5 linked regions of the Oryctolagus cuniculus genome follow. The protein of the gene in region 5 binds, or shares a complex with, the protein of the main gene of each other region. Links are inferred from orthologs where the notes say so. Each region holds a gene or a part of one and is shown on either strand. Other genes may lie near its edges. The genes, in order: FGFR1, FGFR3, FGFR4, FGF23 and KL.

The links.
Region 1: the proteins of KL (region 5) and FGFR1 are in contact, whole or in part, in a cryo-EM structure (PDB 7YSH), measured with the Homo sapiens proteins. The link is inferred for Oryctolagus cuniculus from reciprocal best matches to the Homo sapiens genes KL and FGFR1. Residues at the interface, in NP_004786.2 of Homo sapiens: Ser539, Gln540, Phe541, Asp543, Leu544, Asn545, Val546, Tyr547, Leu548, Trp549, Asp550, Val551, Lys555, Arg556, Leu557, Val560, Val563, Thr565, Lys566, Arg568, Tyr571, Val573, Ala576, Glu625, Arg628; in NP_075598.2 of Homo sapiens: Asn272, Gln288, Leu290, His292, Ile293, Asn296, Gly301, Pro302, Leu305, Pro306, Tyr307, Val308, Gln309, Ile310, Leu311, Lys312, Glu322, Leu326, His327, Leu328, Arg329, Asn330, Glu334, Asp335, Thr340, Leu342, Leu349, His351.
Region 2: the proteins of KL (region 5) and FGFR3 are in contact, whole or in part, in a cryo-EM structure (PDB 7YSU), measured with the Homo sapiens proteins. The link is inferred for Oryctolagus cuniculus from reciprocal best matches to the Homo sapiens genes KL and FGFR3. Residues at the interface, in NP_004786.2 of Homo sapiens: Ser539, Gln540, Phe541, Thr542, Asp543, Asn545, Val546, Tyr547, Leu548, Trp549, Asp550, Val551, Ser554, Lys555, Arg556, Leu557, Val563, Lys566, Arg568, Tyr571, Val573, Ala576, Pro580; in NP_000133.1 of Homo sapiens: Gln286, Leu288, His290, Val291, Val293, Gly299, Thr303, Pro304, Tyr305, Val306, Thr307, Val308, Leu309, Lys310, Glu320, Leu324, Ser325, Leu326, His327, Asn328, Val329, Glu332, Asp333, Thr338, Leu340, Phe347, His349.
Region 3: the proteins of KL (region 5) and FGFR4 are in contact, whole or in part, in a cryo-EM structure (PDB 7YSW), measured with the Homo sapiens proteins. The link is inferred for Oryctolagus cuniculus from reciprocal best matches to the Homo sapiens genes KL and FGFR4. Residues at the interface, in NP_004786.2 of Homo sapiens: Ser539, Gln540, Phe541, Thr542, Asp543, Asn545, Val546, Tyr547, Leu548, Trp549, Asp550, Val551, His553, Ser554, Lys555, Arg556, Leu557, Ile558, Val563, Thr565, Arg568, Tyr571, Val573, Ala576, Gln579, Pro580, Glu625, Arg628; in NP_001341913.1 of Homo sapiens: Asp266, Gln282, Leu284, His286, Ile287, Ile289, Gly295, Ala296, Asp297, Gly298, Phe299, Pro300, Tyr301, Val302, Gln303, Val304, Leu305, Lys306, Asn311, Ser312, Glu314, Leu318, Tyr319, Leu320, Arg321, Asn322, Asp327, Thr332, Leu334, Leu341.
Region 4: the proteins of KL (region 5) and FGF23 are in contact, whole or in part, in a cryo-EM structure (PDB 7YSH), measured with the Homo sapiens proteins. The link is inferred for Oryctolagus cuniculus from reciprocal best matches to the Homo sapiens genes KL and FGF23. Residues at the interface, in NP_004786.2 of Homo sapiens: Phe377, Lys385, Leu389, Glu390, Pro392, Trp417, Phe418, Ser420, Lys429, Tyr432, Tyr433, Lys436, Phe437, Arg468, Ser471, Ile472, Arg556, Arg693, Asn694, Met695, Thr696, Tyr697, Ile735, Val752, Phe755, Asp756, Asn782, Asn783, Leu785, Ile812; in NP_065689.1 of Homo sapiens: Leu39, Met74, Ala80, Val88, Arg91, Leu166, Ile167, Phe169, Asn170, Ile173, Arg175, His177, Asp184, Ser185, Glu186, Arg187, Asp188, Pro189, Leu190, Asn191, Val192, Leu193, Lys194, Pro195, Arg196, Ala197, Arg198, Met199, Thr200, Pro201.

The regions. Positions count from the first base shown.
Region 1 is NC_091433.1:88,163,042-88,168,270, forward strand, and holds part of FGFR1 (fibroblast growth factor receptor 1), read right to left. Parts: intron 4,928-5,229; coding exon 4,661-4,927; intron 3,210-4,660; coding exon 3,120-3,209; intron 2,842-3,119; coding exon 2,669-2,841; intron 1,519-2,668; coding exon 1,395-1,518; intron 311-1,394; coding exon 120-310; intron 1-119. UniProt on the Homo sapiens protein: Tyrosine-protein kinase that acts as a cell-surface receptor for fibroblast growth factors and plays an essential role in the regulation of embryonic development, cell proliferation, differentiation and migration.
Region 2 is NC_091433.1:654,990-660,992, reverse strand, and holds the start of FGFR3 (fibroblast growth factor receptor 3), read right to left. Parts: upstream 3,726-6,003; 5' UTR 3,567-3,725; intron 3,202-3,566; 5' UTR 3,104-3,201; coding exon 2,995-3,103; intron 1-2,994.
Region 3 is NC_091437.1:63,110,473-63,116,385, reverse strand, and holds the start of FGFR4 (fibroblast growth factor receptor 4), read right to left. Parts: upstream 3,557-5,913; 5' UTR 3,421-3,556; exon of another isoform or gene 3,376-3,420; intron 3,055-3,375; exon of another isoform or gene 2,886-3,054; intron 1,455-2,885; 5' UTR 1,421-1,454; coding exon 1,330-1,420; exon of another isoform or gene 1,316-1,329; intron 730-1,315; coding exon 466-729; intron 377-465; coding exon 296-376; intron 196-295; coding exon 29-195; intron 1-28. UniProt on the Homo sapiens protein: Tyrosine-protein kinase that acts as a cell-surface receptor for fibroblast growth factors and plays a role in the regulation of cell proliferation, differentiation and migration, and in regulation of lipid metabolism, bile acid biosynthesis, glucose uptake, vitamin D metabolism and phosphate homeostasis.
Region 4 is NC_091440.1:105,066,383-105,071,611, forward strand, and holds part of FGF23 (fibroblast growth factor 23), read left to right. Parts: coding exon 1-304; intron 305-3,850; coding exon 3,851-3,954; intron 3,955-5,229. UniProt on the Homo sapiens protein: Regulator of phosphate homeostasis. Inhibits renal tubular phosphate transport by reducing SLC34A1 levels. Up-regulates EGR1 expression in the presence of KL. Acts directly on the parathyroid to decrease PTH secretion. Regulator of vitamin-D metabolism.
Region 5 is NC_091440.1:81,191,498-81,196,726, forward strand, and holds part of KL (klotho), read right to left. Parts: coding exon 4,990-5,229; intron 3,938-4,989; coding exon 3,669-3,937; intron 1-3,668. UniProt on the Homo sapiens protein: May have weak glycosidase activity towards glucuronylated steroids. However, it lacks essential active site Glu residues at positions 239 and 872, suggesting it may be inactive as a glycosidase in vivo.

The sequences.
Region 1 (5,229 bases), on a different chromosome or scaffold from region 5:
ACTCCTGGGAAAGGGGCTGGGTCCCGATCCCAGGCCCTGAGCCTGACCACAGAACCTGAGCCGCCAGGAGCTGGCGGGCTCTGTCCTGGCACCCCATCCCGAGCAGACAGGGTGATTACCTTCAAGATCTGGACGTAGGGCAGATTGTCTGGGCCGATCTTACTCCCGTTGACCTCGATGTGCTTTAGCCACTGGATGTGAGGCTGAGGGTCACTGTACACCTTACACATGAACTCCACATTGCTGCCCAGGGCCACCGTCTTGTTGGCAGGCAGCCCTGCCTGCAGGATGGGCCGGTGAGGCGACCGCTCTGTGGAAGAAAGGACACGTGTGGGCCTGCAGTGCCCCCTCGGCTTTCCCGGGGATGGGGCAGTGCATGTCCTGCATCTCCGCGGGGTCCCAGTGCCTCCACCCTGAGTCCTCTCTCGAGGCTCCATGGGAACTCCTCCTCGAGGCCACGCTCCATACTTATGCACAGTAATAAGTCTCCTGTAGCTTAAAGGACTTAACACCCTGAGATCCCAGCACAACGTGCTTCCCAGAGAGCTGCCGAGACCACTGCTGTTCAAAGTGTGGCCCAGGGACAGCAGCACCAGTGCCAACTGGGAGAGAGAGAGTCAGAAAGGCAGGATCTCAGAGCCTGGACCCCATCCCCCTGCTGAGACCACGTGGCCAGCACCAAGATGGGAGGCTGGCGGAGAGTCCCTGGGCCTCTCCATCTCCAGCGTGCTGGACTCTACCTCCAGAACGGGGATGGGAAGCCTCTGTTTCTGCCAAGGGCCACTTGGATATTTATAACGTCGTTCGTGGACCATATAAAATGATCCAACTTAACAATCAGCCTGCTATACATGTACTGAATTTCAAAGTCCCGTCTGGGATTGCCCTGGCAGGGCCAGACAAGGTGATTTTGTGGGCCTCGTACAGCCTGCGGGCTGGACGTTCCCACCCCTGCTCTAGGACCGGCTGCAGGAGCAGCCCTGAGAAGCATGGTGCTCATCCAGCAGCCGGCAGGGGCCTGGAATTCCACAGGCACCTGACCTCTGAGCCTCAGCAGGTACAGTGGGCGCGTGCCTGCCTGGTGGGGATGACAGCAGATTTGCAAGAGCCTTCATCAAGCCACAGCTACCACTGCACTCCCTGTAACAGCCCAACAACCAGTCACGTCTTTCAGGGTAGACTGTCAACAGTGCTTTCCAGTTCATGGCGACATTGGCTTTGGGACACATTCTCACCTAATGCTCTTTGGTTTGCAGATAGGGAAAAGTAAAGTGCAAACGGAGGAGCTGACCCGCTCAAGGTGACAAGGCAAGTGCAATCCTGACGCCATCCCGGGAGTCCCTGATGCCCGCTCCATACCCTAAGCACCTTAGGTCTGCGCCACCACCTCTTACCCACGACGTCCAGTTGGTAGGTGTGGTTGATGCTGCCGTACTCGTTCTCCACAATGCAAGTGTAGTTGCCCTTATCGGAGGGAACCACGGAGTCCATGATGATGCTCCAGGTGGCATAGCGGACCTGTGGGGAACAGGCAAAGGGCTCCACTGAGGGTCTGGAGGAAAATGCAGGCAGAGGCCATGGGGCCGTGTTGGTGCCTGTGGGACTGCCTCTCTCAGCTCCCCCATCAGAACTGCAGAGTAGCTGGGAGGAGGAACAGAGTACGTGGTGCTCAGCCCAGGTCCACTCAAACGAGCACGTCCATTAAACTGGCAGATGAGCGTGAGCCTTAGAAGTCTTCCCCGTGGTGCTCAAGGCCAGCCATGGTCTAACCAAGCTGTCTTCTGCAAACTCTCCCAAATTATACCAGGAATATTCTCAACCCTGTGCCTCTGTGCCTGGCTCCTGTTAAGAGTTTGGCCCGGGGCCGGTGCTTTACCAGCATAGCAGGTAAAGCCACTGCCTGCAGTGCCAGAATCCCATATGGGCACCGGTTCGAGTCCCGGCTGCTCCACTTCTGATCGAGCTCTCGGCCATGGCCTGGGAAAGCAGTAGAAGATGGCCCAAGTGCTTAGCACTTGGCACTCTGATATGGGTGCCATCATTCACTGCTTTCCCAGGCACATTAGCAGGGAACTGAATTGGAAGTGGAGCAGCTGGGACTCGAACAGGTGTTCTCATATGGAATGCTGGCATCACGAGTGGCAACTTAACTGGCTGCACCACAACACCAGCCCTATGTGTTTAAAAACTTTTTAAATGCATTAGTTAGAAAGCACTACTATTTAAAACAGAGGCATATGAGGGAGGATTTTCTTTTTTTTTTTTTTTTTTTTTTGACAGGCAGAGTGGACAGTGAGAGAGAGAGACAGAGAGAGAAAGGTCTTCCTTTTGCCGCTGGTTCACCCTCCAATGGCCGCCGCTGCAGCCGGCGCACCGCGCTGATCCTGGCAGGAGCCAGGAGCCAGGTGCTTTTTCCTGGTCTCCCATGGGGTGCAGGGCCCAAGCACCTGGGCCATCCTCCACTGCACTCCCTGGCCATAGCAGAGAGCTGGCCTGGAAGAGGGGCAACCGGGACAGAATCCGGCGCCCCAACCGGGACTAGAACCCGGTGTGCCGGCGCCGCAAGGTGGAGGATTAGCCTATTGAGCCACGGCGCCGGCTGAGGGAGGATTTTCTAACTCCCTTGTCCCATCCCTCCTCCTCTCCCTTCATATCTATGTGTACTAACCTTGTAGCCTCCAATCCTGTGGTCAGGTTTGAACTCTTTGCCATTTTTCAGCCAGCGCAGCGTGGGGTTCGGTGTCCCGCTGGAAGGGCACTTGAACTTCACGGTCTTGGCAGCCGGTACGGCGTGCAGTTTCTTTTCCATCTTTTCAGGGGATGTCCAGTACGGCGCTACGGCTGCCCGGGGAGAGCCAAGAAACGAGGGGGCTGGTCAGGTTCCGAGCAAGGGCCCAGGCAGGAGCGGGAGCTGCCTCGCCCATCTGCCCAGCACCTGTTTGCCACCATCCAGCATCAAGGGACACTCCAGGGGCTGCAGTCAGGCACCAGGACCCCACGTGCCCCTCCTTCCTCCTCCTCCTCCTCCTCCTCCTCCTCCTCCTCCAGTTTCAGCCAAGCCTTTCCCTTCCCTCTCCAACGAAACTCCCAGGCCCGTAAGATAGGAAACAGTGTCTCACGCATACGGTTTGGTTTGGTGTTATCTGTCTCTTTCTCCTCCGAAGAGGAGTCATCATCGTCGTCGTCGTCCTCCGACGAGGGGAGCGCATCTACGGGAAGAAGCAGCGCACTGAGGTCCCCTCTGACACAGCTCTGGATCTCCATGCCTATCAGCGGTCACCCCACTGAGACTGCTACCGATACGGACCAACACTGACTGCCCTCCCATATGGATTCCCACGGCCACTCTCCCTCGGCGTTCCAGAACTGCCTGCTCCTGTGCCTGGCCCTTCTCTCCCCAGTGGGGTCCTCTTTTGTTGGACTCCACCCTTCCCCCCTTAACTCACAGTACCCCGGGTCTCAGAACCACAACCTGGGAAACCTGTGTCCTTCTTTGTGCTGCCAATCACTGGGCCACACAGGCTGATGGAGACACAGTGGAGCTAGACGCTAGCTGCAGGGACGGACACGGCGCAGCTGGTTAAGCTGCCACCTGTGATGCTGGCAGCCCATATGAGCGCAGGTTCAAGTCCCGACTGCTCCACTTCTCACTCAGGACCCTGCTAATGCGTCTGGAAGAGCAGCAGCAGAGGGACTGAGTGCCTGGGCTGGGCCCCTACCACCCACGTGGGAGACCTGGATGGAGTTTCTGGCCTGTCTCTAACTCTCTCTCTGTAACTCTGCTTTTCATATAAACAAATGTTTTTAAATAAAAAGAGCAGCAATTAGTTTCAAAGTCAGGGTCCCGACACCTGCAGTCCGAATTTTTCCTGTGTGTCACCTGCTCAGGCTTGGGCACCGCCCCCAGCACCCGGCCTGCAGCTGCCGACACCTCTGCCCACCAAGCATCCACCCCTTGTCAGAACAGGCTCCACAAACACGTGGTCACCAATCAGGGTTCAAGGCAGGTCTTTTCCCAAGCCTGCCCCGCACTTTCAGGGTGGGGGAGAGGGAAGATGGGGGCATGTTCAAAGTGACACCTAAGGGGAGGCTTACGGGCTGCACACCTGGCCCGCCTCCCTGGGCTGCACAAATAGCTTCTAGAACATTTCAGCTCACTTCCTGCAATCACAGTCGCTTTCCAAAACTGGCAGATTCCCAAAGTCACAGAGCTCTGGGGTTCCCTGGCTGCCCTCATGGCTCCAAAGCTAGAGGCCAGGCGCTTGCTTCCTGGAGAGCCTGCGGGCGGGCAGGCGAGGCGGTGCAGCCCCGCCGGATTCTCCCCATCATCACAGCAGGGACCTCCGCCACAATGTCTGGGGCTCTAACTCCTCTGTTAGAGTACCAAGACCCACCGGACCGACTGACAGTGGCAGGATGGAGCTCTGGGCCACGCTGTGGTGGCAAAACCGCAGGGCCTTAACGCCCCGAGGGCATCTCTGGCTGAGGCCTGCTCCACCTGACCATCCCTCTGAGAGCCAAGCCACGCGGCGGGCAGGGAGCAATGTTAGTGGGCAGCGGATCGGAAGCAGAGCGTGGGGCAGAGGCTCGCTCCCTCGGAAACAGTGGGCCGGAGGGGGTAGGTGCGGGGAGAGCGTGAGGGCGGGGCTTTGCTACCAACCTGAGACGTTGACGGAGAAGTAGGTGGTGTCGCTGCCCGAGGGGCTGCTGGTCACGCATGCGTAGAGGCCGGAGTCGGCGGGCACGGAGTCCCGCACCTCCACCTCCTCGCCCGTGATGCGCGTGCGGTTGCTTTCTGCCAGCTGCACCCCGTCCCGCAGCCAGTTGATGCTCTGCACATCGTCCCGCAGCCGACAGCGAAGCTGCAGCAGGTCACCCGGGTGGACCAGCAAGGACTCCACTTCCACAGGGGCTCCCCAGGGCTGGGCTGCAGCCACCCCAGGGACGGGCAGAGGAGGCAGTGGCGGGCGAGGGAGGAGGGAGAGACAAAGGGGGAGTTACGCTGGCCACCACCGGGCCTCACTTCCTCGAACTGGCGTTGGGGCTGGGAATACGGGTCAGTGGGAAGACAGCTGGCGGCCTGGGACCCCTGGCTCCTCTCCCCCACCCCGCTCCTCCAAAAGTCAAAGGAAGAAAAGAGGCAAAGTTAGGAAGCAGCTGCAGCAGCGTTAAGCGGATCACACTGCGTTTCCCGCCATCCTAAGGGAGAGGCCGCCCTCCCCAGGCCTC
Region 2 (6,003 bases), on a different chromosome or scaffold from region 5:
GGCGCCTGCCTGCGCGGGCCTGGGGCCGCCCCCCTGAGGACAGAGGCGGGGTGGGGGAGGCCAGCAGGTGAGGAGCTCGGGCTGCCTGGGCCTACAGCTGACAGTGCCGGACAGCCCCGGGGCCTGCTCCTCCCTGGCTCCCAGGGGGACATGAGGGCCAGGGCCGCAAGGACGCACCAGGGCCTCAGTGACCGTTACCCCCAGGCCTCCCTTGCCAGGGCCACACAATTCCCCATCAGGCGGCTGGCCTGGGCTTGGGGCCCGGGACAGGGGTGGGTGGTCCCGGGGGCCAGGCCCAGCTGGGCCAGTTGCGCCATCACTTGTCATTCTGCCGACGTATGGCCTAGATTCGAGGGCCCAGCTGCCCACTCTGGCCACAGTAGTGCCCGGCTCCCTGGCCAGGCCCGATTCGGCCCGTCCCTCCACGCGCCCCCCACACGCCCCAGCCTCCGTCAGGATCCTCCAGCGAGGAGGGCTCACTGCCATCCTGTGCACTCTCTACAGGAGCTCCCATCCCACAGGGACCCGCAGCTCAGGGCCAGACCTCGAGGGGGCCCTGTGGCCGGGGGAGGCTCCTGCCACAGTGTCCTGCGGGGACCACCCAGCACCAGGAGCTGCCTGAGGCCCCCCAGAAGGCTGAGGCCAGGCCCCGGCCCAAGGGCAACAGCCGGCTGATTCCGGTTTGGTCTGGAGCACCACGACAGGTCACGCAGTCCACACAAGGATTCCCTTCAACCTGGTCCAGAGAAGGAATCAGAGCGGCCCCGGGCCAGCCACGCCCAGGACCCCCACCCGTGCCGGCTGGAGAGGAGCGAGGCCCCGACCTGTTCACCCACCCTGCCCGCCAGGTGTCTCAGGGGCCAGGGACCCTGGGGTCTCATCTCCGCCTCCTCACCCAGGGGAGGCCAGCCAGGCGGCCCGGGGAAGGCTCTCTCTTGTCCACTCACCCGGGCACTGGGGCCCAGAGTCAGCAGGTCCCGCCACTCCTGCTCCTCCTGCAGCCCCAGTGTCAAGCCCCAGGGTGCCACCTGTGCCCCACAGAGGGCCCTGCAACCTGGAGAGCCCACAGAGCTCCCTGACTGTGCCTCAGTTTCCCCAACTGCAGCACAAGGTGGGGACTCCCACCTGCAGTCCAAGCACGCCCTGACGTGGGTCAGGTCACAGCCAGGCCAGGAGTCGAGGCCCCCAGCGTGCAGGGGTCACAGGGCAGGGGTAGCAGCAGAGCCACACCCCCTCACCAGGTGGGTCCAGGGGTGGGGTCAGCAGCGTCTAAGGGGTCCTGAGGCTCACCTGCCCACCTCAGTCTCCACCCAGACACATTCCACAGAGCTCCTGAACAAGTCAGAAGAGGGAAAGGGGCTGGGGGCCGGGCGAGCTAATGAGAGCTTATCGGGATTATCCGGCCTAATCCCCCAACAACCCCGCCATTATCCGTCCTCCCACACAGGTGAGGAAACCGAGCCCAGCAGGGCAGCGGCCGGCAGGACCCCTTGGGAGGGCCCTGACCCCAGCCCCAGCCCCGCTCCGGCCGCTGACCCGAGGCCGGGGGAGGCGGTGCCGAGGGGCTCCTGGGCGCAGAGGCCAGCCGATCAGGCCAGGTTAATGAACCACCAGGAGGCCTGCTGGGCTCAAAGTCCAGCCCTGCCAGGAGGGGGTGGGGAGGCTGCAGCTGCCTTCTGGAGGGAGGTCCGCACCCACCCCACCCCGCCAGGGACCCCCCTGGCTCCCGGGGACCCAGCCTCCCAGCACCCGAGAGCCACTGCCAGGCCCCCACGGCGGAGGACACAGCCCCGTGGAGACGGGGCTGGCGTGGGCAGTGGCGCCCTTGACCCCAGCAGGCAGGCTCCGGAGAAAGCGCCCTGGCCCTGCCCTTCACGCGGTCTTAGTGTTTTACTGCCCGGCCCATCTCGTTAAGGAGCCGGATTAAGTTTATGGTCCCATCAACTCACTACCTGTTCCTCCAGCCGGGGTGTGCGGGGGCGGGGCCCCCCCTCCAGGCGGGCCTCCCAGGCGCCTCCCCGGCCGGCCGGTCGGCCGGGAGTAATATCTTCATCTGAATGCGAATGCTAATGCGCCCCCGCGGCCGCCCCCTCGGCGCCCCCGGCAGCCGGGCCGTCGGAGCAGGCGCTCAAAGCGCGCGCTGACCTCGCGCCGGCCTCTGTCACGCCGTGAATGACACGCGCATTCAAGCGCCGGACCACTCTCATTCATAAAAAAATGACATTGTTCGCGCGGCTGCAGCCGCCGCGGCGACGGGGGCTCGGGGCGGGGGCCGCCATCTGCCTCGGTGCCGCGCGCCCGCGGCCGCCCCGCGCGCACCTCGCGACGTACAAAGCGGCGGCCGTCCGGGCCGCAGGCTCGCGGGGAAAGCGGCCCTCCACGGGGCCGGGGAGCGCACCCTTGGTCCTCGCGCGAGCCGAGGGTCCACGGGGGCGGGGGGCGGCTGCCCGCCCGGCGCCGGAGCAAGGACGCCCGGGCGCTCAGCCCGGCTCCGCGCCGCCCGCGTCCTGCGCCCGGGCACCTGGGGGCTGCGGCGGGGCGCGCGCTCCTCCCGGCACCCGGACGCCCCGCTGGACTTTGACCGGCACCCTCGCAGTCGCGGCGCCCACCCCGGGAGGGAGGTGTCACCTCGCCACGCAGTCGCTCCCACCTCCAAAGTCCAGTCTCGCGCTGGCCCAGGCTGGCCGGGAACCGGGGCCAGGGCGGGGGGTTGGGGGCACCGGCAGCAGGAACTTTCCGTCAGCAAAAAACCCGAGGGACGATGGGGTCGCGCAAACCGACGGCTTCTAGGGCGGCAGCCGCGCCCCGGGCGGGGGCTCCCACGAGCCGCGGTCTCCAGAGAGAGGGCAGCAGAGCCCGGCACCGGCGACCCCTCCCCACCTCGGAGCCGGCTGCCCGCTGCCGACCGACTCCTCTTCCAGCCCGGACCCCGGCCCTCCCGAGTCCCCGGGGCGGGGTGGGGGTGGGGTGGGGTGGGGGTCCTTCCGTCCTCACCTGCGGCTCTCCGCACCACACGCCGCTCCGGACCCGCAGGCTCCCAGACGACGCCGGCCACGACCACCACGGCCACGCAGAGTGCCAGCGCGCGGGCCGGGGCGCCCATGGCGGGGACCGAGCCGGCGTCCTCAGGCGGCGCGCGCGGGCATGCTGCCCCCCACGGCCCGGCCGGGGCCCGAGAGGGAGGAAGGCGCACGCCGGAGTCTGCGGGAGGAGGAGGAGGGCGGCACCTCGTCACCGGCCCCGGGGCGCGCGGCAGCGGCGGCCGCGGCCAGGGTCCTGAGCCCCGAGCCCTCCGGCCCCCGGCCCCCGGCCGCCCCGCCCGCCGCCGCCGCCGCCGCCGCCGCCGCCGCCCAGGGCTCCCGGGCCGCCTGGCGCCGGCCGCCTCCTCTCCGCCGCGGTCCCTCCCTCCCTCCCCCTTCCCTCCCAGGGCGGCGGCGGCGGCAAACTTCCCAGGGCGGGAAGCTGCCACAGCGGCCGCTCGGGACCCGCGCCCGCCGCGCGCCCCGGCCCCTCCGGGGGTCGCCCCCGCGACCCCTCCCAGAGCCCGCCCGGCCCCGCGCACCCACCTGGCGCCTCTGGAACCCGGCTCGCCACGCGCGGCTCCCACGGCCCCGGCTCGCAGCCCGCCCCTGCCGCCGCCGGTGCGTCCGTGCGCCCGAACGGGACCGCGCGGCGCCAGCTGCCCGCGCCGCCGCCGCCGCCGCCGCCGCCGAGCTCTGAGCAGGGGCTGCCCGGCGCGCGGCGGCCGAGGGGGGACGGCCCGCGCCCGGCCCGCCCCCGCCCCGCCCAGGCCACGCCCGCGCCGCGCGCTGCGGGGCGGTCCCGGGCGAGGAGGCGTGGCCGGCGGGGGCGGCCCCCGGTCCCCGAGGGCGTGGGAGCCCGGGCAGGGCGGTCGCGCGGGAGGCCCGGCGCAGCCTGTCCGTGCGGGGCTGGGGCAGCTCGGGGCCGCGGGATTGTGCGGGAGGGCTCGGGGGCGTGGGCTCAGGGGACCGGAGGCCCGGGAGGCTTCGCGGGGGAGCCGTGGCAGCAGAACCCCGCGGCGGGGGACCGGCCGACCTCCGGCGGCGGAGAGCAGGGCGCCTCCGGTCCGAGCCTCGCTGCGCGTGGAGGCTGCGCCTGTGCGGGGGGGGGGGGGTGTCCGTCCCGCGCGGCCGCAGGGAGGGGGCGGAAGGTTGGTGCTTGCCAGGCCTCGGAACGGCCGGTGGTGAGCTGGTGGCAGAGCACAGCCGGGCGAGGTTCTGGGAGATTTGGGCCGGGAAGGCAAGGCTGGGCGCGCAGCACCAGGCCCTGCCTTCAGACCCCCATGCGACAGGCCAGCCCAGAGAGGTCGAGGGCCTGCGGAGCTGGAGGGCCGCAGGTGCTGGCCGGATCACCAGGAGAGTGGGCCACAAACCGGCTCTGTGTTCCCCCAGGCCTCGGTGCGCGCGCAGGTGCTGGGGGGGCGGGGGCTGGCGGGGAGGCCACCCTCTGCTCAGTGGGCAGCTCAGCACCTCCGCCCTGGGCCTCCCTCGTGGGCTGCTCAGGCCAAGTCCGCGTCCTTGCAGCCTGGGGACACAGGCCCACTGGCCCCTAGGTGAGCTGGCCAGGCCTCTGCAGTGCGCAGCCGCAGGCCGCTGCCACTCAGCGCCTCTCAGCGCCGTCTGCACTCATCTGGGTTTTTGGGTTTTTCTGAGATTCATTTATTTGAAAGGCAGACAGTGAGCAGGGAGAGATGGAGACCTTCCGTCCACTGCGCACTCCCCGAATGCCCACAACAGCCAGGGCTGGGCCGGGACGGAGCCGGGAGCGCCAGGCCAGTCTCCCGTGTGGGTGGCAGGGACTCACGTGGTTGGAGCCGTCCTCTGCTGCCCCCGGGTGCACATCAGGAGGAGCTGGGACCCCCATACCAGGCTGCAGCCAGTCGCTTAGTCCGTCCTGCGCCAGGACGAGGGGGGCCCGGGTGCTCTGGGCCCCTCGGCAGCAGGCCGCGTCCTTCCTGCTTTGAGGGAAGGAGTTGGTGGGTCGGGCTGGTGGCAGCTGGGCGGGGGCGGGGAGGACCGGCCAGCTGGGTGCCCACAGCCCCTCCCCGGTGCCCGGGAAGGGCCAGCCCCCTCTGCCTAGCAGGTCAGCGGTCTTTGTGCACCGGGCACATGCTGCTTCGTGCCCGTCAGGAGCCCCTCCTCAGGAGAGATGCCCTCTTGGGCAGCCTGGGGCTGTGCCCGCTGCCCTGTGTGCCTGCTGCCCCATCCCTGTCCCCACGTGTCCCCCAAGCCTGCCCCCACAGACCACACATCCGGGTCCCCTCACTGTCCAGCCTCGAGGGGAGCCGGAGACTCCCCATCCCGCTCTCCTCTGCCACTCTCCTGCTCGGGACCAGCCTGGGGTGCGCCCAGGGCGCGTCCCAACCCGCGTCGCCCAGGGCCCACCTTCCCCCCGCCTCAGCCCAGGCGTGGGCAGGCCAGGCTCCCTCCCACTCTCTGCAGAGGGGGCTAGGGACTTCCTGGCCCAGCTCCGGGGGCTCCGGGGGCCCCGTGTGGCCCACGTCTGCCTCTGTGTCTCTGCCTCACTGAACCTAGGGCTTGCCTAGCCGGATTGCCTCATGCTTGCAAATGTGGTTCCGGCTCAGGTGTGCGTTCCCGCACGTGCCACGGTGCCACGGTGGCGCTGTCCACGCCCTGATGTGACTGCTCCCCGTGGCTTCGCTCGCGGCACCGCTCACTGCCGGCAGCTCACCTGAAGCTGCCCCCGTCCCCACCTCGCGGGGAGGCCGTTACTTGAAGGCGTCCTTATTCTATTTGAGAGCAGAGATCTGTCCCGTGCACGGCTCCACTCAAATGCCCGCAACAGTGGGGGCTGGGCCAGGCCGCAGCTGGGAGCCGGGAGCCCCATCAGGTCGCCCCTGTGGGTGGCGGGGGCCCAACCACTTGAGCCGTTGCTGCTGCTTCCTGGGAGGCGCTGCAGCCGGAAGCTGGAATTGGGAGCAGGGCCCAGACTCGAACCCGCTACAAACGTGCCACACCGGCC
Region 3 (5,913 bases), on a different chromosome or scaffold from region 5:
CAGATGGTCTGGGACTCCACAGCCTCACCCGAATCCCTCCAATGCGGTTCTCCCCATGGAAGGCCTGTCCGTCCTTGAGCCAGCGGATGGTGGGCATGGGGTTGCCTGCGGCTGGGCAGCGGAACTTGATGGTGTTCCCGGCAGGCACTGCATGCAGTTTCTTCTCCATGCGCTGGGGGTGTGTCCAGTATGGAGCTGGGGGGGGAGGAGGTGGGCGTACTGAGTGCCCCCCACCCCTCGTTTCAGTGACCAGATGGGGCGATGTGGACACGAGTCCTGGAAGCCTCACACCGACCTTGCTGAGGGTAACTGTGCCTGTTCGGGGAGCCCCTGTGGGCCTTGGGGTCCTCAGGATCGTCACTGGAGACCGAGGAGTCTGTGTCAGGGACAGAGCAAGCATCTGAGGACCAAGAGAGGGAGTCTCTCTCCCCGGGGACCTCAGCCGCCCCCGCCAGCCCCTCTTACCATCCACAGCCAAGGTGAGATTGTGCAGGACCGTCATGGAGCCTCGAGCCAGGCAGAGGTAGCGGCCGGCATCCTCGGGCAGGAAGCTGGCAATCTCCAGGCGGCCCCTCCAGCCCCGCACCCGGCCGGCAGGTGCTAAGCGACTGCCCTCCTTGTACCAGTGGCCGCCCCGCTCAGCCCGCCTGCAGCACAGCCGCACGGGCTGCCCAAGGGCCACGGTCAGTTCCTGCTCGGGCTGTTCCAGGCTGGGGGCTGGGCAGGGTTCTGTGGGCCGAGCACAGAACGCAGTGAGCCCCGCCACTCCGATGGGAGGCGGCCCCCTTGCGTATGAAGAACATGCTGCCCACGTGGGGCCCGGGCACCCAAGGACACGTGCTGGACATGCCACTCCTCCGCACGCAGCTGTGGGCCCACGCCACAGCGCCGAGGTGGGCCACACGCACACAAGTACTTGGCACGCATGCTGGACATGCTACACTCGGGACACACGTACACACACATACACAGACACTCAAAGGCACATGCTATACGTGCCACACGTGCTGCCTGGGCCGCCAAGCTACACACTGATGCACAGAACACACACACACACACACACACACACCCACGCAGCCAAGCGCTCACCCCCGGCTCTGCAGCCCAGCTGAGGGCCCAGCGCCCTGCAAGGCCCGTCCTCTGGAGCGCAGTGATAGATAGTGGCCGCTTGCTGGGAGCCAGACACAGAGTCTCAGAGGCTGAGGCCTGCCCTGCCACCGCCTTCTCAGGGCTTGGGCTGGGACCCTCTCCGGCTCTGCTCAGCCAGCAGCCCCCTCCCAGGTTCACGCTTCCCACCCCTGCGACCCTCTCCCACCTTTGGGGCCATACCCAGCTCCACTTCCTCAGAAGCCTCAAGGGACAAGGCTGGAGCCCCAGGTGCCCCCAGCAGGACCCCCAGCAGGGCCAGTAGCACCCACATCTTCCTGCAGCTCCCAGGACTCAGGCTGGAACTCCTGGAACAGGGGGCAAAAAGAGCAGCTGCCACACGTGCGTCTGGGCCAGCGCTATTGCCCTATTTTGCAGATGAAGAAACTGAGGCAGGTTGGTCCAAGCCCCTAGCCCGGCTGTGGCAAGGCAGAGACTGGAACCAGCTCTGTTGCTGCTGCCGCTGCCGGAGCCCAGGGCCTCCCCCTGGTTGCTGGTGCAGGGGGAGCTGGGCTCGGCTTCCTGCTCTGCCTGGGTCCTGCTGAGACCCTGGCACAAGTTCACAGAAAGAGCAGTTTGGGGATTCTTTCCTTGGAGCGAGGCAGAGAATGGAGAAATATCTGCTGTTCGCTCTCAGCACACATAATTTACTTTTTGCTGAATAAAGAAATTTATTGCTGAAGAGCCAAAAAAAAAAAAAAAGTGAAATGTGATAGCAGGCCAAACGTCAGCAGCTGCATGTTGTTGGGGCTGACCCCTACCCCTAGGGTATTCCTGGCACCCATGCCTAGCAACTGGGTGCTTGCACCAACAAGGCAGCACTCCCCACGTGGAGCAGGGAGAGGGCCTCATTCGGAAGCCCCGCAACCCCACACAGGAGTTTCTGTAGACTCTAAAGTGTCAGCACCAAGTTCAAGTCTCGGCTCCCACCAGCTTGCAAGTCCTGGGCTGTCCCGCTCCAGGCTGTTTTGAGATAAAAGCGGTGATATATGTGGGGACTAGGCACGTGGCATACTGGCATGTCCTCCCCGCCCCTCTTGTCACCTGTCACCCTGGTCTGCCCTCAGCCGGTCAGCTCTGGTCCTGTCAGGTACGAGGTGCACACCCATCTCATTTGGTCACTTTCTTCCCAGTGCTACTGAGCACGTCTCTGTCCCCCCAAAGGAACACTCAGAACCAAGCAAGGGGACAGGCTGTGGTCCCAGGCAGCCACTGGCTATTCCCTGGGGCTGGGTGCCAGCCAGGTGTCAGTGGTGTCTGCAGATGCGCCTTCCTGGAAGCCCACCACATCTCTCTGCAGCCGGGTCCCCCCCTCCCAGCCCTCTCTGTATTTCCTGTCCCTCCCCGGGGCAGGCCACGGTGGTGTCTGCTTGGGCCTTTGCAAACCTCCTCTGTTCTCAGCCTCTGCAAGGGCTTTGGGAAACACACGTCTGTCAAGTGCCCCCTCCGTCGGTTAAAGGCTCCCTGCACCCTGCAGGAAGCAGTCCCCGCGGCTCGTGTGTCTCCCAGGCCCCCTCTCTGCCCTGGCCAATCTCCCTTCACGAGCACGGAACCCACCGCCTTTCAAAACCCGGCGCCTCCGTGCCCTTCATCCCTCTTCTCCATCCCGCTCAGCTCTTTCTGTGACTGAGCCCAGCCCACCCCAGGGCTCCGCAAAGCGCCCCCTCTGCCTCGGGGCACAGCTCCGCGGGCAGTGGGGTGGGGACGCCTGGGACCCCAGGCTGCCCTGACCTCCCAACCTCAAACCTTGGCCGGGTCACCGCGGCGGCTGGCCACCCGCCCGGCGCGTGGGACCAGAGCTCCCGACTCCAGCATCAGACGGTCCCGGGTTATCCAGCCTCCGCACTCCCGCGCCGGAGGGCCCTGGGCCAGCGCTGCACCTCTCCGGGCGTCGGCCTCCCCTGCTCTGCCGCCCAAGGACAAGAGCGCTCTCCCCACCCGCCCGGCCACCTTCGGGGGGAGGTGCGAGCCGAAGGGTCCCCCTCCCCCGGGAGCTGCACCCGCCCCCGCCCGGGTGGGCAATGAGTAACCAGCTCCGTGGCCACGGTGCTCTTTGGACGGAGCGGGACAAAAGGCCCTGTGTGCGCTGTGGGTTACTGATTTACCGCCCTTCCACCCCCGCGCCGAGAGGACGCCCCCGTGCCGGGAGGGGGCAACCCCTGGACCCCGCCGTCGCTCGCCCCCTGGCGGCAGGGGGTGAAGTCCGGGCCCGCACGGGTCCTGGCTCACCTCGAACCTGCGTGGCTCCGCTGCCCGCACCAGGGTCCTGCTCACCTGGTTCCCCCGCGCCTCGCTCCCTGCTCACCCGATCCCCGCGCCCGGCGGGGCCTGCAGATAGCCCCGGCGCTGCTCCGCCCGCGGCGGGAGAGCCAGGAATAAACTCGCTACAGCGGCGTGGCCGCGGGCAGCTGCCCAGCCCCGCCCCGGCCCCGCCCCCGGCCGGTAGTACCTCTCAGGGGCGTGGCAGGGCTCCGCAGCCACGCCCACCTAGGTCCCAAAGCGGCGACCCAGCATCACCGCCAGCCGGCCAGGGCCAGCCTGGCTACTACAAGCCACCTCCTCCGGCCCACCCAGACCCCTGGCGGGGCTTCCAAGTTCTCGTCCACTGCCCAGCCGTGTCTCCTGCTCGTCACCCCTCGGGGAAGGAAACATTGACCCTAGCCTTGCTCCGCCATCTCTGTGCAGTGGACTGACTGCCCCACGTCCGCTCATTTGGCAACCTGCACAGTGACAGTTCTTTCTAGAAAATATTTATTTATTTATTTGAAAGGCAGAGTGACGAGAGAAGGAGAATCAGAGGTCGTCCATCTGCTGGTTCACTCCCCAAATGGCAGAGCCAGGAAGCCAGGAGCCTGGAAGTCCATCGGCATCTCCCACGAGGGTGGCAGAGGCTGGGCCATCTTCCACCTGCCTTCCCAGGAGCATTTGCAGGGAGCTGGATTGGAAACAGAGCAGCTGGACTTGAACCAGTGCTCTGATTTGGGATGCTGGTGGATGTAAGCGGTGGCTTAAGCCATGGAGCCTCAACTCCAAGTCCAGAGTGATTTTTTAAAAGATTTATTTAGGGGGCCAGCGCTGTGGCATAGCAGGTAATACTGCTGCCTGCGGTGCAAGCAGCCCATGTGGGTGCCGGTTTGAGTCTCAGCTGCCCCACTTCCGATCCAGCTCTCTGCTATGGGCTGCCCCAGCCTGAGAGATCTGGAAGGGAGGAGAGGAGAAGAGGGAGGAGGAGGAGAGGGGAGGGGAGGGGGAAAAGAAAAGAAATCTCTCTTTTTGGCAATGTGGCAATGTAGTTTATGGTTTTTAAAAGTATATTTATTTATTTATTTATTGAAGAGACAGAATTACAGGGAGAGAGAGAGAAAGGTCTTCCATCCCCTGGTTCACTCCCCAAATGGTCACAATGGCCAGGCTGGGCCAGACCAAACTCAGGAGCCAGGAGCTTCTTCCAGGTCTCCCATGTGGGTGCAGGGGTCCAAACACTTGGGCCATCTTCCACTGCTATGATCAGGGAGCTGGCTGGGAAGTGGAGCAGCCAAGATTCAAACCAGCGCCCATATGGGATGCTGACATCTCAGGTGACTGCTTTACCTGCTATGCCATAACGTCAGTCCCACCTGAGTTATATTTTAAATACAAATCTGACTGTTTTATCTTCCCCTTTAATTTTCCAGTAGCTTCTCACAAAATTATATATAGGTTTTTAGCATAACCTGGCCCCTGCCCACATCTCCAGATTGAACCTTCATGCCCTTTTATCTTGCTCCCACCCTGCCCCTGGGCCTTTGCATGTGATTTCCCTCTTCCTGGAACGCGCTGTCCCGTCTTGGTCTGGTGAAGTCTGTCTCCTTCTCAGGTCCTGCTCCTCTTGCTTCTTCTGGGAGCACTGAGCTCACCGGGTGCTGCAGAGCTGCCTTTTCCTGAGTGATTCAGAGCACAGCTTGCAGCACTGGGCTGTGTGCCCTCACCTCTCAGCACTGTCGCACACAGCCTTGGCGGGTCCCTCCATCCCTGTCTTCATCCTGTTGGCAGGAAAGTGGTAGCTGATAGCATCAACCTCAAGAGGTTGTTGCAAGAAGCAGACCTGTGGGTGTGTGCAAAGCCATCATCCAGCATTTGCTTTGCAATGCTAGCTGTGATTACTTCTTATTTTTTTAAAGAATTATTTTATTTATTTGAAAGACAGCATTACAGAGAGAGAGAGGTCTCCCACCCGCTGGTTTACTCCCCAGATGGCCGCAATGGCCAGAGCTGCACCGATCTGAAGCCAGGAGCCAGGAGCTTCTTCCGGGTCTCCCACGTGGGTGCAGGGGCCCAAGGACTTGGGCCATCTTCCACTGCTTTCCCAGGCCATAGCAGAGAGCTGGATTGGAAGTGGAGCAGCCGGGACTCGAACTGGTGCCCATATGGGATGCCAGCACCGCAGATGGCAGCTTTACCTGCTGCACCATTATGATCACTTTTTGATCTGGGATTTCTTCATATTTGCCAGTATTGTAGCTGAACCATCAGGAATGTAAATGATTGTGAAGTGTTCCCTCTGGGGAGGCAGGAGCTGTGCCCACGGACCTGGCCGCCGTGTTAAGTGCAGGGTACACGCAGGTGCCTCCCAGATAGCTCCACTCTCGGTGTGCTCTGGTCGGCCTCACCTGCAGAGACCCATGCTGCGGCCAAACTAGAAGGCCAGGCACCCTCTGACCCTCTGACCTGTGACCCCTCACCTGAGACGAGGCCCTCTCCTCCCCCGCAGGCTCTGGGAGAAGCGCA
Region 4 (5,229 bases), about 24 Mb from region 5:
TCACGTCCCTCTCTGCTACTTGCAAGACTCAGCCCAGAGGGGAGTCTCAGGTTTCAATCTCAGCATCTGCCATTCGGAGAGAGAGGCGCGATGTTAGGGGCCCGGCTCCTCCGGCTCTTGGTCTGTGCCCTGGGCAGTGTGTGCAGCTGGTGTGTGGTCCGAGCCTACCCTGACACCTCCCCACTGCTCAGCTCCAGCTGGGCTGGCCTGACCCACCTGTACACGGCCACCGCCAGAAACAGCTACCACCTGCAGATCCACAAGGACGGCCAAGTGGATGGCACACCTCATCAGACCATCTACAGTGAGTAGGGGCTTCTGGCTGGGAAGAACGGGGACCTCCCCTGTTGTCCACTATGGAGAGTTGGGAGAGGGCTTGGGTTAGACCAGAGTGCTAATCCAGCCACCGAATGTGTTGCCCAGGAACCGTTTCATGGTGTGTGTGTGTGTGTGTGTGTGTGTGTGTGTGTGTGTTATCCTTAGGAGAAGAGTCTGCTCTCTCCCTAATCAGTACTTACTGATTTCTCTCAACATGAATACTTTGTCTTAGCTAAAACCCCTCTTCCCACAATGAGAGCCCACTTTCCCTTTGCCTTGGCCAAGGAGTCAAAAAAAAAAAAAGTATGGAAAAGAAATGCAAGGAGTCTAGGAAGAAGAGAAGATAGATAGATGAACACAGGATGCTTTTTTGGACTTGCTAAATAGGGAGATTATAAAGAAGATTGCTTATCACATCAAGAAGCTGCTTCCAACTCCTAGCTTCTAATATTCTGACCTCATAATTGTTCTTCGGAAGAACAGATGGAAGGCAGAGTGCCCAGGTGTTGTATCTCGGTGAGTCCGACCGAGAGCACTTCCTTCCATGTCCTCATCTATCCATGCATCCATTCGCCCAACAGGGTTACTCATGTTCTGCAGGAGTCCAGGGTGAGCTGGTGACTATTCTCTGGGGAGCTCACATCTGTCCTAGCAGTGTCAAGTTGAGCTAACTGGGAACTCACTGGACACATGAGAACACTGCAAAGTTTCCAAAGACTAGGTTTGTGGGATGCTGGATCACAGTCCACAGCAGTCCATCAGTTAGCAATGACCCAAAGGAGAGCTCCTTCACTGTAAAAGGGAGAATGGAGTAGAGGGCATGTGTGTCTTGACGGGTCTTCTGTTTTAGGAGGACATGTTAAATTACTCTGAGGACACAGAAAAATGAAAATTGACTCAAAATAGTTCAGGTCAAAGGAATGAAGGAATAATCCTGATCTCTAACTGAAAAACTTCTCATAGGAATTATGGGTTCTCTTTTATTGTTGGACTAGAGTAAGGAATTATCTTGCTGTGACCCTGCTGTGTGCAAAGCATTTGTTCTGCTAGGAATCAATGCTTTTTAAGCCTGGTAGCATAATGCATGCACACACAGAGTCAACCTTGGAAACCTCAAAGGCTCACTGGGTACTGACAGGCAGTGAAGGGATGGGGAGTTCTCTCCAAATTCCAAGCAGGTTCCAGAAGCAAAGGAGATATAGCAGTATTCAGAGTCACTATTCTTGAAGCTGAGTTTGATCTAACAGCATATATTTGAACTAAATCTGGATCTACTTGATGTGACCACAGTCCTGCTCCTGGTAGTCAGTGGGTATTTAGTAGGACCCACGATATGTCTGGAATGATACAGAGAGGGAAGACAGAGCTCTTCAACAGCCTCCAGTCTGCCATCCCTTCTGCCTGCCAGTGCCTTCTCGAACTTCTAGGCAACACAGGTTTGCACCTCTCAGGGGAAGCCACCTCGGCCTCCTCTGCAAAGCTGTCTGTGATCTGAGCCCAGCGTTGTGGTGCAATGGGTTTAGCCACTGCCTGCAATGCTGGCATCACATGAGTTCCAGTTCTAGTCCTGGCTGTTCCACTTCTGATCCAGCTCCCTACCAATGCACCTGGAAAGCCAGCAGATGATAGCTCAAGTGCTTGGACCCCTGCCACCCATGTGGGAGACCCAGAAGGAGTTCCAGGCTCCTGGCTTCAGTCCGGCCCAGATCTGGATGTTGCAGCCATTTGGGGAGTGAATTAGTGGATGGAAGATCTCTCTCTCTCTTTCTCTCTCTTCCCTTCCCCCATAACTCTGCCTTTCAAACAAATAAATAAATCATAAAAAGGCTACATGTGATTTAAAATGCATGAGAATAGATGATGACACATTATTCTGACTCCCATAGAAAGAAAGGGTAGAGAACAGCTAAGGAATATTTGTTTGTTTGTTTTTTAAATTTATTTATTTGAAAGTCATAGTTACAAAGAGAGAGGAAGAGACAGAGAAAAGAGAGATCTTCCATCTGCTGGTTCACTCTCCAGTTGGCCGCAACAGCTGGGGTTGGGACAGGCCAAAGCCAGGAGTCAGGAGCTTCTTACCAGTCTCCCATGCAGGTGTAGGGGCCTAAGCAGTGCTTTCCCAGGCCATAAGCAGAGAGCTGGATCAGAAGAGGAACAGGGCTGCTGTTATGGTATATGATGCTGGTTCAAGTCCCGGTAGCTCCACTTCTGATCCAGCTCTCTGCTATAGCCTGGGAAAGCAGTAGAAAATGGCCCCAGTGTTTGGGCCCCTGCACCCATGTAGGAGACCTGGAAGAAGCTCCTGGCTTCGTATTGGCGTAGCTCTGGCCATTGTGGCCATCTGGGGAGTGAACCAATGGATGGAAGACCTCTCTCTCTCTCTCTCTCTCTCTCTCTCTCTCTCTCTGCCTCTGCCTCTGCCTCTGCCTCTCTGTAACTCTGCCTTTCAAGCAAATAAATAAATCTTTAAAAAAAAAAAAAAAGAGTAGCCAGAACACGAACCAGCATCCATATGTGATGTTGGCTTCCCAGGTGGAGGCTTAACCTGCTAAGCCACACCACCAACCCCCTACTGGGATTCAGATGGACAGCATTTGGCAGCTTCGTGGGTTTCCCAGGCAGCCGCTATGCCCCTAGACTCAGTACAGGTAATCTTTGCCCTGACATGGCTGTGACCTTTGAGCTTGGAACCAGTCTCCACGGAGGCAGAGGGCGAAGGGGTCAGACTTAAAGCTACTGTCAATTATGTATGGTGTAGGAAGCATGAATGGGTTTCGGGCCCTGGCTGGAGACCAGCCTTTGAGAGGAGACACTGAAAGACCACAAGGGGTTGCCCATGGAATGGGAACTACCACATGAGAAAGGACCAAGGACAGTCAGGAAGACCCAAGAAAAATGTTCCATCCAGCCTTGATAGCCATTCAACGTGGAAAGATAAGGCCTCTGCTCCCCTGTAGCTCACTGCCAAGGAGCTAAAGACTAGGTATTGACTAGTTAGAGCCCAATGGGTAGGGCTCCTGCTTAACATTAGCAGAGAAGGGAGAGAGAGACTTACTCAAATACAGTTCTGGACACGTGATGAGTGCTGTGGAACGCATTAGACTATTACACCGCTGGCTGGGTGGAGAACCGGACTCTACCTCCAGGCTGCACCCTTGACAGAGATCTCAGCACAGCCTTAAAATTACAAACGCAGAAGGCTTGGAAGAACATGACCACTACCACTGACAGGAAGAGGCATTAGCCAGGCAACAGGGGAGACAGAGAGGGTACAGGTGCAGAGAGAGAAACAGGTGTACAGCACAGGTGAGAGAATGCTGTGAGTTCAGAGTGCCCCACACAGCAGGAGGTGGGTGTGGCAGTGAGTGGGTGTGTGTGAGATTGAGACAGAGAGAGAAGTGGAGAGAGAGCATTGAGTGACGCCATCATCAATCTTTGACACCAACACAGGAAGGTTTTGTGAGGGTGCAAGTACCTGAAGGTGGGAATTGGAGGTGCAAACAGTCTCTGACCAGGACGCTCCTCTCCATAGGTGCCCTGATGATCAGATCGGAGGATGCTGGCTTCGTGGTGATAACAGGTGTCATGAGCAGGAGGTACCTCTGTATGGATTTCAGAGGCAACATTTTTGGATCGGTGAGTGTGTGTGAGTGTGTGTGTGTGTGTGTGTGTGTGTGTGCGGGGAGGCAGCGGTTATGGATCTGCATTTTCCAATAGTTATCTATTTCGGGAAAACAGAAAACATGGACTTTTCTGGCTTGAAGCTTCCTTTTGCGGGTGCCTTGCTCATCTGTTCTCAGCGAACACTTTTTTGTCTGATCTGAAATGTTCACATTTATACAACTGGGGTTTGAACCGCAGTCTGTCTGGCCCCAGAACCCAGCCACTCGGTCCCTTGTCTGCACTGCCCATGGGTGCCCATTCTTGTATCTAGCACAGACCCCTGTGTATAGTTGTAGGTCTTAGAGATATGTGAAAGCATGCCATAAAGCACATTAGAACGGGCAAGAAGCTAATGGTGTCTGCTTGGACCTGTTGCAAGCTGCTACCTTAACCAGTCCCCTCACTTTCCCAAACTTCAGCTTTTTCACTCAGAAAAAAAAATGTGGTGGAGTGGCCCACATGATTAGGGAGCACCTCTGTCACAAGTCTGATCGCTGGTCATTCAGATTGGCAAGCAAGAGGTTCCTCAAAGTAAAGCCGGCTGGCACGTCCCAGTGGATTTTGAGATAGTGAAACAGTGGAACTGCTTATTTCAGGATTCTCTTTACCACCAGGCATACTCAGAGAGACGGCGCAAAATGGGGATTTTCTGTTTGGGTACCTGCTAAGTCCCAGTTCCTACAATATTATGTAGCCAGAGTGGATCTACATTTATTTATTTACTTACTTACTTATATTTAAGAGAGAGAGCACACACAAGTGTTACCATCCATTGGTTCCCTCACCAAATGCCTTCAGTAGCCCTTAGCCAGGAGCTGAGAGCTCATTTGGGGTCTCCTGTGTGGGTGGCCGGGACCCAATGACTTGAGCCGTCACCACTGCCTGCCAGGGTGTGCATTAGCAGGAGGCTGGAGTCAGGAGCCAGAGCCGGGCACTCCGATATGCGATGTGGGATGTGGGATGTGGGATGTGGGATGTGTCCGATCCTAACTGCCTGCCCGGAAGGACACTCTTTATCTGTGGAACATCAGAACATCTAGACGAGCACAGCTCCTAACTGTAAAACATTTACTGTGTGGAGTTTGAAAGTTAAATGAAATACACGTAAAGGCCTTCATAGGCACTCAGTAAGCCTCACTCAGTACTAGATGCGGAGTGAGTACTGGAGCCCAGCCAGCTCTCAGTAAAGTTCTTGCCATTGATCTCCAAGCCACATGCTCTCTCTGATGTCACTACTCTCACTCACTT
Region 5 (5,229 bases):
GTGAACCAGCAGATGGAAGACCTCTCTCTCTCTCTCTTTCTCTCTCTCTCTCTCTGCCTCTCCTTCTCTCTGTGTATAACTCTGACCTTCACATAAAATAAAATAAATAAATCTTAAAAAAGAAAGAGAAATGTATGCCATGAGTACTAAGAGTTTGAAACACTAGCCACGAGGGAAAAGATGAATTTCAATGGCTTAAAAATCACTTCTCAGGATTTTGATATATAATGTATGAAAAGCACAGAGGAAGTGCTTGTAACTGCAGACACACACCGTGGAGCTGGCATAGCAAAGGCCTCACTTTGATTAGTCCATTGGGGAGTGGGCCTGGGAAGGATGCTGCCACAGAAGGCAATGCATGAGGAGAAGACCTCAAAGGAGCACACAGCAGGGGCCGCCAATCCCTCCCCACCCCCGCCCACCCCCCCCCACCCCCCCACCCCCCCAGAGCTTCCAGAGGAGTTCACATCCCCAGGGGTCTGAGAGCTGGAGGGACAGAGCTGAGGAGGTAAAAGGACAGCGCGACCTGAGGGTGGGGCTCTGGGCTGCTGAGGGGCTGCCCTGTGATCAGGCTCTAAACCCACTGCCTCTAGGGCATGAGACACAAAGCATTCCCCGCCCCCCTGCATCACCCTGCCTAGCCAATCAGACATTTCACTTCCCACCAGTCTCTCTCCTTCCTCAAGAAAATAGGACACACCCACGTGGTGGAATGAGAAGGTGAAAAGGTCATGCAAAGATGGCCGCTGAGGTGCAAAGTTCATGCCAAGATGGCCGCTGACAACAGAAACTGCCTGGCAATAGGCTGTGATTGGATGGCTTCAGAAACCACATGGCAACAGAGCCTGACTGGCAATAGGCTGTGATTGGATGGCTTTGGAAACTGCCTGGCAACAGGCTGTGATTGGTTAGGGCATAGACCGCCCCTTGACTGGATTGGCTGCCTTGGCTATATAAGCAGCTGTAGCAACTGAAATAAACGAGTCTGCGGGCTGCTGGCCTCAGGCCTGCTTTCACCCGACTCCTGGGGTCTGTGAGGTGACTCTGCGCCTCTTGAGCCCACCCTGCTCCTCTTCTCAGAACGAATCCTCTCAGAAGAAATCTACCGCAACACACCCAGAACACTTTCTCACTGATTTCCAGTTCCCAATGCAACCACACAGCCCTTGGGTGGGGAGCAGAGTGGAGCAAAATGTATCTCTCCAGCCCCCAAACTTCCCTGGGTCCCTAGGGTCTACACCGAGGAGTGGGCCACGAGACACTCACACACTAGATGAACTGGGAGCTACTTGCAGGCTCAGGCTGCTGTCACAGGATTGGATAGGGGCAGTGACAGGGCCTGGTGCCCAGCAGGGAGCCCGCAGAAAGTCAAGCGCTAGAACAGGGACAGGGGCCCTCTAATCTACCCCGAGCCCCAGTGTTAGGGTTTGACTATAATTTGGCCTCTGAACTCATGCAGGACTTAAACTCCCAAATCATAAGTTAACGGCACTAGCAGGGTGGAAACTGAGTCCATTCTGGCATCTAGGATGCGGAGCTAAAGAGAGGGCCTTAGGTCACTGGGGACATGCCCTCCAATGGTAGCTCTCAGAGGAGGGTTGTTGTAAAAGCCTGAGTTTGAGACCAGCTGACTCTCTGCTTTCCCATTAATCCTGTGGTCATGCATTGCACACGTTCCACCGACACCATCGGCCACTCTCATGAGAAGCTGAACCAATGGAACTGGCCAATCCTGGACTCGCACCTCCAAAACTTCCAGCTGAAAACAGCTTTTCTCTTTTAAAGTTAATGGCCTCAGGCCTTTTACTACAGCAATGAAAAGCTGACTCCTACAGCTAACAAAGGGGAGGAGGAAGGGAGGATTGCAGGGGGCATGTCTTCTCCTCCTCCTTGTCTCCTTCTCTCCTGCTCCTCACCAGTCCCACTTCTGTCACCTCCAATGCACTTGAACTGGAGACCCCCCTCTGGAAAGGGAAATTAGGAGAGGGTGGTTCCAAATAGTCCTGGATCGAGGGAGGACAGAGAGGGAGCAGGCAGGAAACTCTCACACCGGGCAAAACGGACCTAAGACTTTATATTGGGCTCAGAAATCTCTGCAAACCCATTTCCCACTGTCCTTTACATTGAAGTCCAGGACTGACTCTAAAACAAACTACATGATCTGAAAAAGTCACAAGCATAATCCAGACCCACACGAAATTATTAAGAGTAGTGTGGATTTATGTCCTTACAAATAAAAGATTGCAACTTGATATTTACCACTAGAAAAGAGCAACCCACTTCAACTAGAAAACCTTTCTTGAGGTCCAAGCATTCCTCCAAGTAACTTCTTCTGAAGCTGTGCTTTATAGGAACAGTGAGTTGGCTAGAAAAACTCAACATGCTAAGTCTCACTGCTTAACTATGGATGCTGAATTTATCTCTGTTTTGATTATTGTTTTTACACCCAAACTATATTCAGTAGCTCTTCCCCCAACACCACCACCCTGCTCACTTACCATCATGCTCTGTTCACTCCATTATACTCATTGTGTCTCCATCATTTACTGTCAACGGGTTCCTTTGCACCTTTTAAAGCAAGGGGTATCTTATTCATCTCAATGTGTTCCCCACGGGCACTCCACTTAACCAGGTGAGCCCAGAAACACACAACAGGGCTTCGTACACATGAGGCATACTTACTAAAGTATTCAGTTGGGTTAGGCCACTGCTTGGGATGCCCTCGGGATGCCCTCATCCCAAATTGAAGTGCTCTTTCTAATCCCAGTTACTCCAACTCTGATTCACCTTCTTGCTAATGCACCAGGGCAGGCAGCAGATGTTGGCCTCAAGTACCTGGGCCCCTGCCACCCATGTTGGAAACTCAGATGGAGTTGCTGGCTCTTGGCTCCTGGCGGCAGCCTGGCCAAGATCCAGCTGTTCCAGGCATTTGAAGGAAGAGCCAATAGATGGAATATCATTCCTCCCACCCCTCTGTCTCTCCCTCTCTGTCACTCTGCTTTCAAATCCATAATAAAATCTTTTTAAGAACATATGCAGTAAACTGGAAAACAAGTCCCTTTAAAATTAGGTAAATTAAAAAGAATATGGAGGGCCAATTACATAGTAAATATTCCGTAAATACTAGTTGATCATTTGGAAAGACTCCCATATCATTCCAATGACCATGATTGTAAAGGACATTGTTATCAGTGAAACACTGAAGCAAAGAGTTTCTTTCTCAGGTATTTCTGCAAGCCACATGGTTATACCTCAAGAAGAAGGCCATCTGTTCCTGCTTCAAAAATATCAGTGGCTCCCTCAATTCTCCAGTATTTTGACTTTGGAAGAGTATATCTTGTTTATGGACAAACCCAACTGCTTTAAAAGGGGTTGAAAACCGCAGAACAAAAATGTATTTTATTATCTTTACCTGCCTTAGAATATCTTACACATTAACGTTTCAGGTTTATTTCCATTTGAATCTAATTTAAAGTGCAAGATGACGTCTGGAAGATTTTTAGAAAAAGGGCTGCTGCATTCCAATTTGTGCACTGAGTATGCTTTTGAGGAAACTGTGTTTGGCTAAAGAACTGACAATGTGCCATGTGAAGAGCCTAATAAGGAAACACTACTTACTAGTGATAGGGCTTGGTGAGACTGAAGATTGGTTTTGTCAGCTGACTTACTTGAATGTAGTTGTCAACAACTCCCCAAGCAAAGTCACAGGGAAAGGTCCCTTCTAGGGGTTGATTTTCAGGTAAAGGAGGGAAGCCATTTTTCTCTATCAGCTTTTGGTAGAACAAGGCTGAAGACTTCGGCAGCAACTTCTTATCCTGACTCAGAAAGTCAACATAGAAGAGTCCCCGTCTGATGTTGTATCCTCGGTGCCACTCAAAACCATCCATGAGGGACCACGCTGTGTACCCGATGACATCCACCCCATCCAGCCTGATGGCTGCAAAGGGAAGAGGAGACAGGAGCAACATGACCTTCACTGATCACTCGCCGGGGACTTTATTACTTAAAGACAAAAATTAAGTTTAATTCTTCTTGTTTCAGAAGCCAACGATTTTTCTTATTGACAAAAGATTCTAGTCCTATCTAGGTAATTCCACAAATAAATGTCTCACAAATAGAGCATTCCCAAATCTGAGACAGTTCCTTATTTCCAATGGGTGCTCTACAGGGCTAGGGAGAGGTCTTGTTCCACTGTGTACCCTAGCATTGTGCCTGATGCAGTAAAGGAAGAAAGTCATTAAAATAATGAACTATTATTTTCTCTATGAAATGTGGATTATGCTTTTTCTTTTAATAATGCCTTTTTTGGACAAAACACTGTATTTAGAGCAAAACTGATACACACAGCATTTCTTTTCTTTTTTGAATGTTAGTGATATTTGTCTTTCTGTGTCCACCTTATTTCACTCAATATGATGCCTTCCAGTTCCAACCATATTCCTACAAATTGTAGAATTTCATTCTTTTCTATAGCTGAATGATATTGCATTATTATATAAAATATATATCATATTCTCTTTATCCATTTATTTGATGGCAGACACCTTCGTTAATTCCATATTTTGGCTGTTGTGAATACTGCTGCTATAAACATGGTAGAGCGTGTATCTCTTTAATACAATTAATCCATGCTTTGGGGGTTAATGCATGCTTTTATTTGAGCAAAACAATAACTCAAAAACATGTAGGGAGAGCTACATAGCCTGGGATTTGTTGTATGCTTTAGTCTAAGGATCTGGATTAACAACTCTGAAAATACGCAATTTCTAACATTATAATCCAGTTTTTCAACTACAAAATTAGTTTTAAGTGTTAATTTACATTCCTCAGAAACCCTGAATATGTAAGGTGTTACCTAAATACATTCCTACTGTTGCCAAAATCTACATTATGATTAAAAATATAAATCCACATACTTTATTATAGATAACCCTACATTATTTTTCCAGTGGATTTTGGCAGGAAATGATAATTTTACCTGAATCCTACCTTTTAATGTTTCCATTATGAACTTTTTGAGGTAGTACATGTATTTGGCATCATCTCTCTTGGTGGTCCCTGAGACAAACCAGCCATTTTCCACAATAAATATCTGAGGATGGTTATATTCCAGGGCAATCCAGGAAAGCAGTTGCCTCAGGCTGGGAGATTCTAACTGGCGGAACTTCATTTGAGGATCCAACAATTGGAAGCTCAAGGTTGGTCCAAAGGAAAGAGCAAAGAAGTCAG